Arabidopsis thaliana: one gene and its partner. The protein of the gene in region 2 interacts with the protein of the main gene of each other region in a pairwise test. Each region holds a gene or a part of one and is shown on either strand. Other genes may lie near its edges. The genes, in order: AT3G60670 and AT2G01370.

Region 1 (9,133 bases), on a different chromosome or scaffold from region 2:
CAAATGTAATTTAAAAAGACTTGCAGGTTAATAGTAATACATGTGGTTTTCTGCTAATCATAAATCTTTTAAGTTAGTCTGTTAATTTTCGTTTCTAATGTTGACAAAACTGATACTAAATATGTATGTATATAATATACATAGTATCTTGAACTTGGTGGACCTTAAAAATAGTAATACAGTACTTGCAAATTTGCAATATTTTCATCCGATTAAAGAATAGTAATACTACCACTAGTCAAATGCATTATTTATAGTTTGTATATATAGATGAGTCCGCGTGCAAAGTCACTGTTAACGATGTCCAAAAAGGACGAAGATCCCGCGTATGGTTCCAATGCAATCAGATGTCCCAAATCCACGTATCTTAAATTTAAAATTGACTTGTACAAAACAATATACTACTAATAATTAATCAAAGACAAAATTGTCTATCTCATTTCTTATCAAAACGTTCTGTTATTTTATTTTCCATAATTTCTTCTTTCTCATATGTCATAACGTAATTTTGTTACATCGAGAGGATAAAATTCAAATTTTGCGGAAAAATATATAAGGCCCGTTTAGATATATTAGTACGTTGAAAAGAGCGAACTTATTAGTATAAGGCCCATTTAGATATAATAGTGGGTCATAAGCCCATAACATATCCTGCAACAGAGAACAAAGAAGCTGCGATCTGGCTAATAAAACTTTCCCGCCGGAAAAAGTTTCTGCAGTTTCCAACTTCTTAAACCTAAGCGAAGCAGATAGTCTTTGATTGGGAGATTGAGAGAGGTTAGTGAAGAATGGAGGGAAATCAAGCTGGATCTTCTCTAGATTCGTTGATTGCTTCTTTCAATAAACGAATCGGCGAATTGCAGGAACTCGTCATCGCCAGAAACAGTGAGTCCTAGTTCTAAACACTCAATACTCAATTCGTTATTCAATATCTTCATTTGATGACCTAATTTCAATTTCCTGCAGTGTATCCTGCAAGTACCATCCCGGATTTATCGGCGATTGACACAGCGTTGAGCTCAATGGAGCTTCAGGTACAATCGATCAAGGACCGATTACGTGAAGAAACCGAAGCTATTCCAAAAGCTAAGGTACGTTTTATTTACTTCCGAGATTTCTGAAATTCAGATTCTAGAAACGTCGTTACACTGTAAGATGATTTGAATTTGAGTAATTTAGGGTTTAGAATCTGGACCTGGGTTTTTGACTTTGAGAGTTTTGTGTGTTGACTGTAGAAACTTATAGAGGCATCACTGAAACAACAAGGGAAGTTGCAGAAGATGTCTATTTATGCACCTTCCCATTTTCCTGACAAGGCTACTATGTTGAATTCAGATTTAAATAGATGGTATTTACATTTACTTGCATCTTCTTTTTTCAATTTCTAGGTATAGCCTTTGATTTTTATTACTACTCCAGAAGTTTGATTAAGATTAGTGGTTTCTCATTCCAGTCTGCTCCAAGAGAATGCCAAGCAGTACGAGCAACATTCTACTCTCAGCTCTTTGAAATTTGATGAGGAAGCAGCTGTTTTACCCAAGGTAGAACTTGCATATACTTTGTTTTCTTCAAAGAGACTTTATGGCCTCTAAGACTCAATGGCGATGAATGATAAACTGTTGCTATTGTGTATTTCTGTTATCTCTGTCTATGGTTGATCTTTGGTTTTGTTTCCAGGAGAAGAAGGGTCGCGGGTCTCCTCCCCTTTGGTACATAACTGTTGAGGAACTCAATTCACTCTCATCGTAAGTACATTTTACTTTCTCTTCTCCTTGTTTATGTGAAATGCATACCGCTTTTCTGACATTTTTCCAAAAAACAAGATACATGAGAGGAAGGCTCACCCTTGAGAAAGTGAATGCTGCTATCAATGACATGGCCTCATATGCTGAAGCAAATGCTCATCTTATTGCAGCCTCAAAACAGAAGGTATATTTACCAGCTGAAGGAATTGAGTTATATAGGCTACAATTGTACTGACGCTTTTGTCTTATATTGCCAAAGCTAGCGGAAAATCTCTGGGAGAAAGCACTTGTAAGCTAATATAACTCATCAACCACACTGTCTAGATGATAGTATCCGTTCACTAGTGAAAACATTGTTATAATCTTTGATTGTCTTGAAACTCTTATATGCAGAAACTACGAGATATCGTAACAGAGCAAGCAGTGAAGGGCAAACATTTCTTTCTTGAAACTGACATGAAGGGACCAAGTTTGAAACTAGACAACACAGGAAAAGCAATACTTACTGTAAGTAACTAATATATCTTCCCTTCATTTCAAAATTTCAACAAAAAAGAAACAACATTTTCATGCTTCCTTAAACTCTTCACCAGAGTTAGACTAACATCGATAACACATGCTTATTGTCAAATTTTGATGTGTCTATTAACAGGTTCTTCGCCACCTTGGTCGTATTAGTGAGACTCGCATTGGACAAAACCGCGTCATCATTCTTATGAAGCCTCACTAGAAACCAACCAACTTGCCTCAAGTAAGTTGTTCATTTTCACAAGCGTAAGGGGTAATTCCGTCATTTTTCAATAGTTTCTTGCTTCTTCTGAGCTCCTTGTACCATAGAATCATAGAAGGTCTACTGGTCCCTTAAACATCATTAAGCCTTAATCTTAATCCTTAAGACCGGCCCGCCTGACAGGCCCAGCTAGGCCCAGGATTTGAATTTATAATATGGACAAAAATGTTTAATGCAATTTTCACATTTGCATAAAAGTAGAAAAACTCGATTTCCGTTATTTTCATAATATTAAAAAAGCAATTTCTCTAAGCAATCTGGTTCAAGTTCCAGTGCACAAATGGCCTGTCCCATTCAAACCTACAAAGTAGCAAAACTCGGTTTCCGTTTTTATTTAGTGACTTTTTACCTCCACATAGTTTTCTTAATACTCCAATACCTTTAAGGATCTTATCTGTGTCACTGTCTATTCGTAAAATCAATAGATAGTAAATTGTAGCTGCCATACATTTATCTTGATACGGACAAGTAAATTTGGCAACATTATTTTCCGAACAGAAGAAGAAAACAAATCTAATAACCAAGCGAAAACGACGATCCTTGCATTATTGTTGTTCATATGTCCTGAAATAAAAATCAAGAGGCACTACGAAATGGGAAGAAGAAAGTGGTCCAGGGAAACAGGAGAGAAAAAAAAAAGACTATTTGCCTCAGAAACATTCACAATTTCACGTTTATCCATAATGTCTGTTCCAATCTCTTTGTCTTCTTTTTTCGTATAACCAATAACCAATTTTAGTCGTCTTTCGTTCGTGCAAAACCCACAAAATACGTTATGCATAAAGACAAAAACACACACTATACAGTCTTATCGCATGCATTTTTTAAAGAAAATTCACATTTATTACCAACCAACTGATATCAAATAATTAATTAACATGTTTACTATTTTGTGAGTTGTGACCTAAATTTTATATACATACAAGAAAGAAACATTCATAAATTTTCTGCAGACCACATTTAGACTTATAGAGTTCTCCATCACTACCATTTTACTTCTTTTATTTTCAAAACGTATCATTTAACTCAGCCAAGAAAGATATGGTCGGTCTAATGCATTTAATGACAACAAATATTAATCCTTTAAGAATTTACTTCGCCGCTGTAAATGTTAAATCAAGCCGTCTCAATAGTACTGAAATTGCTATTCGTGGAGGAAGAGGTATTTTTAAAAAATTATAAAAAATGGGAAGCAATAAAACGGATTATACGAAAACATGTTTCATTATACGAAAAGTATTTAAATTAAATAACATAGAGTTCTCTCATTACGCGGTACAGATATCAGAGTCAGACAAAACCAGGAGAGATCTTTTCAACTATTCTTAATTCCATTTCTTAAAAAAACCTAAAATTCGATTCGTTATTTAGAGATATTGATTAACAATATAAAATAAGACTATAGTAGTTACGTGTATTCATTCTACTTACCACTTGGACCAACCAAATTTCGCCAAACGTCACGAGTTAATAAAGCGGGGCGCGTTGCGGCGGATTCTTCCGACGGTTTAAAAAGTTCACCGGAGCTTCCGTGTTAGTCGTTGAAACCACCTCCGTGACTCTCCTGCAAGTCGTCGACAAGCTGCTTCTTTTCTTCCTAACGATTTCAGTAGTGGCGGTGCAAGCGAGCGCCTGACACCAGAACATGTCTTCTCCTTCGTTACCACTTGACTCGGAAGATGTTCGGTTCGACCCGGTGGGCTCGAGAGTGGAACTCGGTGTCGTTGTCGTGACTTCGTCGGTTAAATCAAGAACGTTGCAGACGCGGAGAAACCCTGAGAGTCCTCTTTGTCTCATTATGACGTCACTAATCTACATAAAACAAACAAACCATGTGTTTGTGTTTTCAGCGACAATTACGTGTAAATATGATCGTACACGCGTGTTTATATTAAAAAGCAGAAAAACAACAAAAACAGAAAGAAATTGAATTGTGTATTTTGAAAGAATTTGAAAAATAAATGAGACAACAAATAAAAACGTTCCTTTTTTATCTGACGACAATTTCGTGTACTCGTGCATCAAAAAATGAAATTTCTAAAAAAGAAGATCGACCCAGATGAAGAAAAGTGGTAAATCGGACTGGGTATGTGATAGAATTTTAAATGAAAACTTAATTAACGAAGAAAAGATGTTCCTTTTAAGTAATTAGAACAAGAAAAAGCAGACCTTGCAGGAGAGACAGCAGAAGAGGTAAGGAGACTGGAGACTCCGGTCACAGGTGATACAAATGTTACCGGAACCACGAAATTGTCGAGACTGAGGCCGTTCATTGATGAACACAACTTTTGAACTGTTCGTTGTGTATGGCTTTAATCATCATCAACACATACACACACACAAAGAAAAAGAAAAAGACAACGAGTATTAATTAAAGCTGTCAAAATTTTAGGGCACAAGAACCAATGAAAATTGGACTTTTAATGTATACAATAAACGGATTAAGAGTTTTATCATGATAATTAAATACAACCAGAACCGAGTTATACCTGAATTAAAGAGCAATCCATTAGCTTAGAACCATCTTCAACCCTCAAAACGTCTCTATACACGTATCTTCTTATCTGCGTAAAGATTCCCAGAAACACACCAAGTTCATATTTTTCTTCCGACAAATATGAAGATTTTTGAAACCATTAAAAAAAAGTTTGTTTATTTTAAGAGAGAGACCTGAAGAAGACGATGAGAGGTATGAGAAGAGAGACAGTGAGGACAGATGGTAAGACAACAATCGATACATAATATGTTCTTCTCGTTCTTCTTATCATCTTCATGATCCAAACAAGCGTTGAAAAACTTGTCTTTTAACAGAACCTCAAGCCATGCAGGAAATTCTCCAGATTCCATCTGCAAAATACCAAAAAAAAAACAGTAAACTTTAAAGACGAAACCCATACATGAATCAAGACCCATGTTTCAATTTCATGTTTTTTGGACTAAAAAGGTAAAATTGAGAAGACCCACCTTGGCTTATCTTCTTCTGGTTATCTACACTGGGAGGTGGTTTTCTCGGGGAAGAGATAGAGAGAGTAAGGTCAAGGTCAGGCGATTTTGAGCTCTCTCAGTGGTGAAATTGACTGACCATTCTCAGAGAGAGAGAGAGAAAGAAAGAAGGAAAGAGAGAGCGGCGCCTGGAGAGAGTGACCACTAGCTTAAATTCAAATGAGTCTTCTCTTCTTTCTCTCCTTAATGATGTGTTGTAATCTTTAGTATTCGTTAATTAATTTGTTTTGTTGATTATTTACTCTCATTTAGTTTTATCCATTAGTTAGAGAAGTGGTTCACTTAGATACGTTACTAACTTACTACGTAATGACTACTACTAGATAGCAGAATTCGATTATGAGTGTTGAAAAGTAACAATTTTGGGTTATTTATCATTATTAAGTACCTTTTCATTGACAGATACAGTTCCAACTTGACAAACAGAAGTGTATATTTATTAGAATTCAGCTTGGCAATAATAATAAATTTTATATTTACTGTCATATGAAAAAACCTTTTTTTTATATACCGTGTGAATATGAACTTTATATTATAATTAATAATTAAATTTAAGAAAGCATTTTCTTCAGAAATAGTATTAAAAAAAATTCAGTCCTCTGGTATGTGACAGTCGTCAATATCAAAATTTTAAAGCCAAATTCAGAGTTTTAATCTCTCTTTCTTTAGACAGAAAAAAAAAACTCTCTTTCTTATAACAATATGAGTTGGGTTTTTAAAAAGAAAGTAAAACGAGATTTCTTTATACAACCAATTTGATTTTCCTGTATCGTCTCTTCATGATATAATTGTATGTGTTGTTTTTGTTTAGAAGGTCTGTCTGGTTCACTGTGAAAAAGTGCTAAATGACAAGACTCTCCCCAACAGTCTACTTTTCATTTGATCATTTCTAAGTGGCGATTTCGTAAACCCAATATAACCTACTAAAAACAAATTTCTCTTTTTACTACTACGTGTATTTCGTTCAGTAAAAATGTGAGAATAAATACCCAAATTAAAGCTAAGCACCGTTTTATAATTAAAAACATTACCATCCACACAAAAAAATAAAAATAAGCTTCATTAATAATTAAGAAAACATAATTGTAATAGCTAAATGAAGTATATGATTGATACATTGAATAGAGGAAGAAATAGAGAGCAAATTCCAAGAACCCTAAGACCCATTGTCACAGCTGTAGACTGTTCTCGAAAACCAGTGCAAAGTTGATGGGATTTATTAGTTATTGCTTATACTACTAAACTTACCTACGTACCTCACTAGACCACCTATTATTATTTTCATTTTATTATTATAAGTAAAATAATCTCTCAATTTTTGCATACAAATTTTTAAAAATGAAAAAAAAAGAATATGAGTGTATGTATAGAAAGAGAGAGAGAGAGAGGGACAGAGAGGTGGATCAGAGTTGGTACGGAGGAGCAGCAGCAGCAGCCTCAGGCAGAGAAAGAATGCGACGCCACTGCTTTCTTTTGATCTGATCCGATTCGATTTCGATCCAGCTGTCCCCTTTTCTCGTTAGCCTTTTAGTTACTATTGATCATCAGGGGTATTTTAGTCAATTTACGATATCTACATGGGCTGGGGCTTTTATCCTTTATTTGGGCTACTTACGATTGTTTGTTATGGTTGATCCACATTTCTCCTTAATCGAATTTAAAACATCTGGGGTGGTCCTGATCACAACAGCACGATTGGTGTTATTGATTTAGTCAAAACCGACGTCGTTGAAGAACAAACTTTGATCTAACAACCGAAATCGTTGGTAACCAAACGGTCAAATGAAATCAAGGGAAAGTGACATACGACCCTCAATTTTGTCTTTGTATTTGATTTTATGTCCCACAATGTAATAAAAAAGATAACTATTTCTATATGTCATTGTGGAATTTAGACAGAATGATATAATAAACAAATGTATCAATGTAAAATGTTATTTTTTTTTTAGCGGGATCAGATTACAAAAAGTTACACAAATTATTAACTTAAAAACCTTTCACTTTCAGCATATACTCGAACACGGTAAATGTAAGGTGCATCACTAATTCACTACTTCCTCTCTTAAAAAATATAGGATACTTACATATTTTAAGATTTATTTATTTATATCAAAAACTATAATCTAATTTTTTATTTTTTTTAACCAATAATATAAGAGACTTCATGATACAAATGGTCATAAAATATCAAATGTAATGAAAAGGTACATTAAAATTTGTTCTATATATAAATTAACTTAAATATATTATTATATATATGAATATTTCACTAAAGTAAATCTAATGTAATAAATTCAGGGTGATTGTAAATATGATTTAGCAATTATACAATATCTAAATAGATTAGGTGAAGTAAAAAAGTGATAATAAATATCATTGAAGTTTAAATTGTCAGTAGTTTGTACAAAAAAACATCTAGACATTAATATTTGATAAATTTAATGGTAACAGTTCGAACATAGTCTGGTTATTCTCATCGGTTTTGAACACAAACCACTGATACTGGTCTTTATTAAGCTGACAACGCAAATTTTGAAAGTTACTTGATACTATTAAATCTTTTAGATACCTTTGATAGTCTTATGGCGTTTTCGACCGTGAGGCTTGTTCAGGATTGTCGATCAAATCTTTTTTTTTCAAATGTGTTGTTCTCCCATTTGTACTTTCTTTGACTATACCACTCACCTAACACACAAATACATGGACTCTCTATTTAGCTTATGCGGCAACTCTTGAATATGACAAAATAAAAATAAAAAAATCAAACTTGTTTGATATATTTTTAAAGATTTTGTACAATTATCTTGATCTTCGAGATATAATTTAGAATATTGTTAGTGGTTAAAAGGATCACAAAGTATTGTCAAGAAAAAAGAAAGAATTAAAGCAAGAATTTGAGAGATGAGTTTCGAAAGACATTTGTTAAACAAGAAAAATAGAAAAGATGAAAGATGAAAAAAAACACAAGTATCGTTTCTTTCTAGTGGTATATGTGAAAAAGATACAACCCTTAATTTGCGTTATGATTACACGAAAAGGAATATAGGACATAATTAATTATAAACAATTAACCACTAAAAATGTTAGCTAAAAGCATCACAAAGACGTGAAGAAAAGGGAAGAAATAAAGCAAGAATCTAGGAGATGAGTTTCGAAAGACATGTCCTTGTAAAGGTGTCTTCAAAGCCATGATTAGTCTTAGTGGGTCAATTAATAAAAGTTTTACACATTCTAATACAACAAAGAAATCAATAAAACTCTTAAATTCATTTTCTTATATCCAAATCATACAATAATGACTAACCGGACGGTTAAAATATTTCTTACTACTATTAGTATTAGTCTATTAGTTATCAGAGTATTCAAGTCTAAATGATCAAAGAAATGTTTGAAAGTGGATGCCACACTTAATTTTCGTGCCGTTCACATTTATAGATACGAGTGTTAAATATGTAACGTAGACGTAAGGTCCTGTTTAATTTTATAACCAATTTATATGTCCAATCAGTAGCAAATTACAAAACAATAATTCAACCCAAAAAGAAATGTGAAAACGTTAATTGTGTACGCACTAGAAGAAGTTAATTTCACTTAA
Region 2 (8,142 bases):
CTGCTTCATCAAGAGAACGGAGCTGATAACTCTACTATCATCTGAATTCTTAGTGTCATTAACTTCCGCTGTTGGAGTCTCATCAATGTCACTGGAGCACAACGATTCAACGGAAATATGCGAGTTGACTTCCCTTAACAGATCATCACTTTCGCCTGCAGCTTTCAGTGTCTCTAAAGCTTCAACAAAGATAGGATAGCGTAGGACAACTCCATTTTCTTTCATGTACACAAGAACTCGAGTCATGAAAGATGTTTCCCCAAATTTCAAGGCTTTCGCTATCAGAATATTGCAAGCTGCTTTATCTGGCTGCACACCAATTTCTTGCATTTTAAAGAATATGTCCAAGGCTTCCTCACATTTTCCTGCAAAATCAAACGAAGAAACTAACACATCATCATCAACAAGGCTACAAAACATTCAGATACCAGAATCATCTACATAAAGCAAAAGTTTTGGATTTTCAGCTAAGCATTTTAACAAACACTTAGTGTGCAAGAGAATGAAGTTGACCTGTGGCGACAAGATACTCCATCAATACAGTATAAGTGTGACAATTCGGAGAAACCCGCGACCGTAACATCTCCTTATACACCTCCGTGGCTTCTTCCACCCTCCCATCAGCGAAAAGCATCTTCATGTAAGCAGTGTACGACACAACGGTAGGTTCGCACCCATTATCTCTCATCTCCTCCCACAACCTCATTGCTCCATCCACATCACCGGAGCTTGAAACCCAGTGAATCAGCGATGTATAAGTCACCGTATCGATCAACACACCCTTCTCCTTCATAAGGTGAAAAACAGAGTACATGGATTGAATCCGACCGGCTTCTCCGAAGATATCGAGCATGGTGGTATAAGTGAAGTGGTCGTGTTTGAAACCCTTGATTTGAGCAGCCCAGTTGAAAAAGAGCCAAGCTTTCTGCATCGGAGGATGTGCTTTCAAGACACGGTTGATAATGTGAGAATCCCATCTGACGCCGAGATGTGGAAGCTGTTCTTGAGCAGAGTCCCAATTGGAGTACTTGAGGATGTTATAGATGTTGGATACAATGTCTCTTGTGTAAACACTGGGATCTGGTAGGGTCTGTGTTTTCACAAGTTTGGGTTTTTGGGAGAATCGCTTGGAGTTGGTGGGTTTTAGACGAGGAAGAGAGTGAAGTAGCTTGACGGAGCTCCGGCGATTGGAGAATTGGATTGGGGTATTGCGGAAGATGCTAGAGAAGCGCATGAAGCTTTGCCCAGAGAGATAACCAATTCTAAACTCCAACCTTGCAGTGTATTAGAAAGCTTTGTTTGAATAAGACGCCGTTTTTTATTCAAGTAAAATTTCAAAAATCTAGATTCAAAGAAAAAAATTCAAAAATCTAAGCAAATCTTTAACCACAATTATAAAGTTAGGGTTTATAATTTGACTTAGGACCTGGGCGTTCGGGTATTCGCTTCGGTTTTAGTTGGATTCCGATTCCTTCGGTTTTTGAGTGTAGAATCCATATATGAACCGAAACAGTTTCAGTTTGGTACGGGTTTGGTTCTAGTTCTTTCGGTTATGAAGTTTGGGATCTATTCGGATATTTTATTTCAGATATTTCGGATATTTTCGAGTATTTTTTTGGATATTGTGGTGTTATATATATATTTTCAAGTATATTTTGGTATTTTAGGTATTTTTGATTATTCAATCTAAAAATAACTAATATTTTTGGATAATATAATCATATTTCGGATATCTAAAATATTTTTGGGTTCGGTTCCTATTATTTTGGTTCTAGAATTTAGGATCTATTTAAGTATTTTACCATTTCGGTTCGGATTCGGGTTCGGTTCTTTTTGCTTCGGTTCCGGTTCGGTTCTTTCGGTTCAGTTATTATGCCCACGCCTAATTTGACTTGTGTTTTACTCGCTTATCTGTCCACTTTTATCTTCTTGTGAAATTTTCAAGTTACAAAAACAAATACTTGGCACCAAAATTGTGTGAATTAGTTAGTTAATGATCAAATGGTTAAATAACACAAAGAGTTGTATAATTTATGTCCAAAAGGTATTACAATTTCGACTCTTTCGAGTTTGGAGGAGTCGAATCGTGGATACATATATGTATGAGAAGAGAGACAATAAATAAAAGAATGTGGTTGATCAAGCTTCAAGGGCAAGTAACATAAGTGTGGGAAGAATAAACTTGTGAATGAGAAAGAGGGTTTAGTTTGTTGTGACATGGAGAAGGCTGTGAAGGAGGAACTGGACCTCGTTGGAGCTTATTCTGCAAAGCAAACCTTCTACCTATATCTTCCTTCTTCATTCTCAGCCTTGACGTTGCCGATGTTCCTCTTGATCCCACCAAAGCTATAAAACACAACATCACTATAATGAATTTCCACATGATCCTCATGATAACTCGGCCTTGTAACGCGGGGATGAATGGTCTAGTGGTTGATTAGTATGAGGAAACGTTGAGTTAGCTAATAATGAATCTTTTGAGGGAATTAAGAAGGATGAGAGATAAAAGTTTTGATGGAGGAAATATATAAAGATACATGGAGAGGGAGAGAGACAATGGTTTTATTTGAATGTTGTTGTGAAATATTCAAAGTAAACGAAAGAGCGAGGCAGCTTCTTGTAATTGTTTGACTTAGAACTCTTTACTTGTTACGTACATGTTTCATGTTTGAGTGTTACGTTTTATGTTGAATTTTGTTAGTGCCTTCATTTTAGTTTTAGCAGCCTATTTAGAACAATTTCTTTATTTTATTAAAATTTTGCACACATTTATTTACATGTTTACCTACCTTACACTAGTATATGTCATACACTAATAAATTTTGCACACATTTATTGAAATTTCTGATCGAGAATTTGGAGGGGGAAACAAATGATATTCCACGGAGATATGGGAACATGTTATTCACAAAAGCAACGATCGCTGCAAACCCAAAGTCCTTTTTTTTAAATCGTCTTAAAAAGTGTCTTTATTATTCTGATTACTGAGTATGAATAAGCCTTAGGCTCTATTTTTAGGATGGTGGTGGTCCTATGAAGTAACCTAAGTGTCACGGTATTTGAGGGAGATTGTGAGGGACTTTTACATGGACAATGATTATAGAAAACTATGGGATAAGACTGTCAGTTGCAGGTTGATAGTAATAGCGGAATTGAGATTAAAAAGTTTCCCTTGTTGACGTCAAGAGAGTACGTACTAGCTTGGAGATTGTGGCAAGGAAAGGACAAGAAGTTGTACTGTTTCACAAAGGTACTTATCATTTTGCTCTTTGGCGTTATTATTAGGAATATGGTAGCACAACAGAGGAAGTATGTACGTGTAAGTTATTTTAGAACTGGTTGGCGAATCAAGCAAGGCAAGTGGATTCACCTAAAAGTTGTTCTAGTCAGTGTTGTTTGAATACCATATTTTGCTTGTCGCCTACACGTTTGTAAGATGGAAAACGCTCTTTGTAAATACATAGCCACCAGTCATAGAACCCAAGGACCCATTTTCTCTGCTGTTACCTTAATGAAAAAGGTGAGATTCATATATATGGAAAAATCTCTTCTGTAAAATGGTACTTAGTGTCCTGAAACTGAATATGCATAAAGCAACCGGTTGGGTTGGGTCTTCACTGACATGATTGTTGTAGGTTCCATCAGAGTTAGAAACTCACAAAGATAATGTCACAGCCTCCATTCAAACTAGTTCGTGAAGGAGTGTTGAGTTGTAGCCAAACAGAAGAAAAAATTGATATTGGGACAAATGATCGATCATTAGTGACATTAGATACAAAACTTGACAGCCCTTCTTTTTGGAAGTTGTAGCCACAATTACTTAACCCTAATGCTTTTTTTTTTTTTTGTCAAACACTTAACCCTAATGCTAAGCGGCTATATAAATAGAAGATCTTTATTCTGATATTATCTCTACAACTTTTTTATCTTGAAAAAAAAAATGAAAGGAATAACAAAAAAACTTTTGGTCTCCCGCTCTCTCAAACGTCTGACGGCCAAGAAAAACCGGAGGAAGATTCATCGAGAGACGAACAAGCGTCTCAAACCGGAGGAAGATCCATCGATGGTGAAGAGGCGTCAAGACTCTGATTCAGATTCGCTGGAGAAGGAGGTTTCAGTTGTTGTAACCAAGACGAGTGATGATGAGATGGTGTCAACAGATACCAAAAAGAATTATTTTCAAAGAATATGGAGTGATGATGATGAGATTGTTTTGCTGCAAGGCATGGTTGATTTTGAGAATGATAAAGGGAAGAGTCCTTATGATGATATGACTGGTTTTATTGATACGGTGAAGAACTTCATTAGCTTTCAAGCGAATCAACATCAATTCACAACCAAAATCCGTCGCTTGAAGGACAAGTTCCTCAAGAAATGGAACAATGGTGTAGATGAGAACTCTCTTGTAAATGCTCACGACCGGAAATGTTTTCAACTTTCCAAAGTAATTTGGGAACCTACAACTAAGGTGGAGGAGGTAGGAGATTGGTTTGTAAATTCTTATCTTGTAGGATCAATTGCGAGGTTAGGGGTGAGTGAAGACGTAATGAAACAGAGTTGGAGCATGGTTCCGATAGAGACGAAGAAGGAGGTCGAAGAGAAGTTCAAGCTGTTGAAAGATGAAGAATCTGAAAACCTACGGCTAAAGACAAGTTTTTTGCAAAAGGTCAACTCTATGATCATTGAAGCAACAAATTAGACAAGTATCGAATTAGAGGTTTAATGCATCTTTTTCATTTCCATCCCATATGAGTCTGTTTTTTCTATTTGGTTTGTTATTGGTTTTTGATACTTGGATTGTGTTGTTAAAAACACTATGGAAGAACGGCAGATTAAATTTTAATGCATCCAATTGTGGTCAAGGTTTATGGTCTAAATTTTGGTCAGAATACTCTTGTTAGATACCTCTCACTTTGCTTAGGGTCAACAAGCATCAATGTTTCTGAGATCACAGATTTTGTAATCAAACAGAAGCAACAGATTTTGTCTATCTTGCAAGCAAACAGAAGATCACATGCATATTTTGTCTTCAACATGAACAATTTCCCGGAAACGTGTAGAAGCAACAAGACTCTTCTGCTCCTTCCTCAATGACGATGTTTCTCTCTGGAAATCACTGGTTTTCTCAAGACCAGACAATAGAACATCGTATGTCCCAAGCGAAGGCATTATCTCTCGCTCTCTCATCTCTCCTAATATCTTCATTGCTTTCTCTGGACTCCCTGCTGAGATATAAACATCCATCAGCGCAGTGTAAGCAGATAGACCCTTTTGATCATCCGGAAGTAAGTCTAAAGCCTCTGCAGCTAAGCTAGGTCTTCTCCCAAACCCGAGCATGTGGATCAGCATTGCTCCATGGTACACACCAAGCGAGTGTTGGGATTTCACCATCTCCTTGACCACATCAATCACTTTAGAGAGCTCGTTTGATCTCAGAAAGTTACCAGCTAACGCAAGATACGCTGACTTCTCAAGATGAATTCCCATTTCCAAGCTCCAATCAAGAGCCAACGAAGCCAAGTAAATAACCAAGATACTGTGCCAACTATTAGTAGTCATTAAGAGACAAAATCAGTACTAGATACTGTGCCAACTATTGTCAAACCCAAAAGTGTTTGGACGGTTTCCTATTATATCTCTATGCTTTTACTAAGACAACCTAGCAAATATTCTGAAAGTGTAACTGCACGACTGATAGTTGCATCAATAGTGTGACAAGAAGCCATAAATGTTTGATCAGAGGTGTACCATACGGGTACCTGCATAGTTGGAGTAAACAATTGAAAGATGAATTTAGCCAAGCAGGAATAACAAACAGTTTAAAATTTTGTAATCGATCCAGGGAGTGTATTTACTCAAAGAACAGATCAAGGACTCTTCTAATAGCTCCTGAGCTAGCTAGTTCTTTTCCTATTGCTTCACTTCGAGTTTTCAGTAAGACATGAATGAACTCCACAATCTAAGACAAGCCATCAGCAACACAAACGAAATCAGAAATATATTACACAACAGAAAACACACACAAGACACAAGAGTATATGTTTTGAGTTAGAACTCCGTACTTGTTACATGTTTGAGTGTTATGTTTTATGTTGAATTTAACTAAAATGCAGACGTTAGTATGGAATGGGCTTCACAAATAAAAGCCCAATAGTATGTTTTTTTGGTAGGGAGCCCAATAGTATGTTGGTTCACCCAAATATCATTTCTTTCTCTGAGAGCTGTTTATTATATTCACACAAAGAAGACCAACAAGAAACAGAGTTGAATCAGTTCTACAATGATCTCTGTCTCTCGATTCTTGTCGCCTCAATTCTACGCAATTCCAAGGTTTTATCCGACAAAACCCAATCTTTTAAGTCTCTCCTTTGTTCATTTCTGTAATCGTGGCGACCAAACTCAATCTCAATTGTTTCAGGAGCTTCGTAAAAATGTCTGCTTCAGCGACTCAAACGGCCGGAGAAGTTTCAATGGGGATCAAGCCTCCTTCACACCCTACTTACGATTTGAAAGCTGTTATCAAACTAGCCCTAGCTGAAGATGCTGGTCATACAGGTTCTCTCTTCACCTTCTAAAGTTTCGATTTTTAATTTGTGAAATTGAGTTGGTCAAAAATATATGATTTGAGTGAAGGAGATGTAACGTGTATGGCTACGATACCGTTTGATATGGAAGTGGAAGCTTATTTCTTGGCCAAGGAAGATGGTATTGTTGCTGGAGTTGCTCTTGCTGACATGATTTTTGAACATGTTGATCCCTCCTTGAAGGTGTTTCCATCATCTTACTTGAAGTCTTTTGATTTGTTTTGTATGTGTCTTTTAGCTTGAAGTGATTTAGTTTCTAATATCTCAGGTTGAATGGATGCGAAAGGATGGAGATTATGTTCATAAAGGATTGAAGTTTGGGAAAGTATCAGGGAATGCACATAAGATTGTTGTTGCTGAAAGAGTTTTGCTCAACTTTATGCAGAGGATGAGTGGAATTGCAACCCTTACCAAGGTCTTTTTTTTGTGTCTCTATAGATTCTCTCTAGTGATTGGTGTGGTTGCATTCATATTAACTTAGTGAGCTTATATCTTATAATGACAAGGCTTTGTTGGCTTAGTACATGGTTTATAGTAACTCAACAGTATCCATTCCTTATTTCGTTTTATAGTACAGTGTTAGTAGTGAACTTTGTCCAGCTGATGAGTCTGTTTCCTGCAGTTAATGGCAGATGCTGCATCCCCTGCATGTATACTGGAGACAAGAAAAACTGCTCCTGGTTTGCGGTTGGTAGATAAATGGGCGGTACGTTCCACACTACTGTTATACCTATTTCAAACCCAACCTTTGAGAGTTGAGACACATTTGTTGCTATATTTGTCTCATCTTTGGAATATTAGGATTATGATACACCTCAAGTTTTCTTGCTTAGCTTAGGTACTGATTGGTGGAGGGAGGAATCATAGGATGGGGTTATTTGATATGGTGATGATAAAAGATAACCATATCTCAGCTGCAGGCGGTATAGTAAACGCCGTCAAATCCGTAGACGAATATCTAAAGCAAAAGAATCTCGAAATGGATGTAGAGGTAACTAATCTAAAGCTTTCAAACCGTTTTGTGGCTGCAAGTTAAATGGCAAACAAGTTGTAATCACTATATATCTTTACTTAAAGGTGGAGACGAGGACGCTTGAGGAAGTGAAGGAAGTGTTAGAGTATGCTAGTGGATCCGAGACTCGGTTGACGAGAATAATGCTGGATAATATGGTTGTGCCCTTAGAGAATGGAGATGTCGATGTCACAATGCTTAAAGATGCGGTAGAGCTAATCAACGGGAGATTCGAGACAGAGGTATGTGTGAGTTAGAAAGAGAGATAACAGATTTCTTTTAGTGAAACTCAGACTCTAAATCTCATGATGTAGGCATCAGGCAATGTTACACTTGAGACAGTACACAAGATCGGACAGAGTGGAGTTACATTCATTAGCAGGTAAGAATACTTTCGAAATCTGTTTTTGATACAAATGTTTTGGTTTTTGGTCAGCTGAAAACTGAAAGATCATATGAATGCAGTGGAGCTCTTACGCATTCGGTGAAAGCACTAGACATATCTCTGAAGATCGATACAGAGTTGGCTCTCGAGGTGGGAAGAAG

What was found.
Region 1: the proteins of AT2G01370 (region 2) and AT3G60670 interact in a two-hybrid assay, tested with the Arabidopsis thaliana proteins (one large-scale study listed by BioGRID).

What each region holds. Positions count from the first base shown.
Region 1 is NC_003074.8:22,420,693-22,429,825, forward strand, and holds AT3G60670 (PLATZ transcription factor family protein), read right to left. Parts: upstream 5,678-9,133; 5' UTR 5,500-5,677; intron 5,383-5,499; coding exon 5,206-5,382; intron 5,100-5,205; coding exon 5,025-5,099; intron 4,846-5,024; coding exon 4,705-4,845; intron 4,348-4,704; coding exon 4,003-4,347; 3' UTR 3,744-4,002; downstream 1-3,743. Other genes in the region: AT3G60660 (spindle/kinetochore-associated-like protein), read left to right, coding at 789-885, 967-1,091, 1,236-1,348, 1,454-1,541, 1,678-1,745, 1,824-1,929, 2,005-2,034, 2,139-2,252 and 1 more.
Region 2 is NC_003071.7:165,348-173,489, reverse strand, and holds AT2G01370 (DNA-binding storekeeper protein-related transcriptional regulator), read left to right. Parts: upstream 1-3,847; 5' UTR 3,848-3,940; coding exon 3,941-4,699; 3' UTR 4,700-4,859; downstream 4,860-8,142. Other genes in the region: EMB3111 (Tetratricopeptide repeat (TPR)-like superfamily protein), read right to left, coding at 1-365, 514-1,234; AT2G01379 (uncharacterized protein), read right to left, coding at 2,147-2,392; AT2G01360 (pentatricopeptide (PPR) repeat protein), read right to left, coding at 5,011-5,559; QPT (quinolinate phoshoribosyltransferase), read left to right, coding at 6,281-6,330, 6,419-6,555, 6,634-6,767, 6,853-6,999, 7,207-7,290, 7,423-7,575, 7,662-7,838, 7,911-7,978 and 1 more.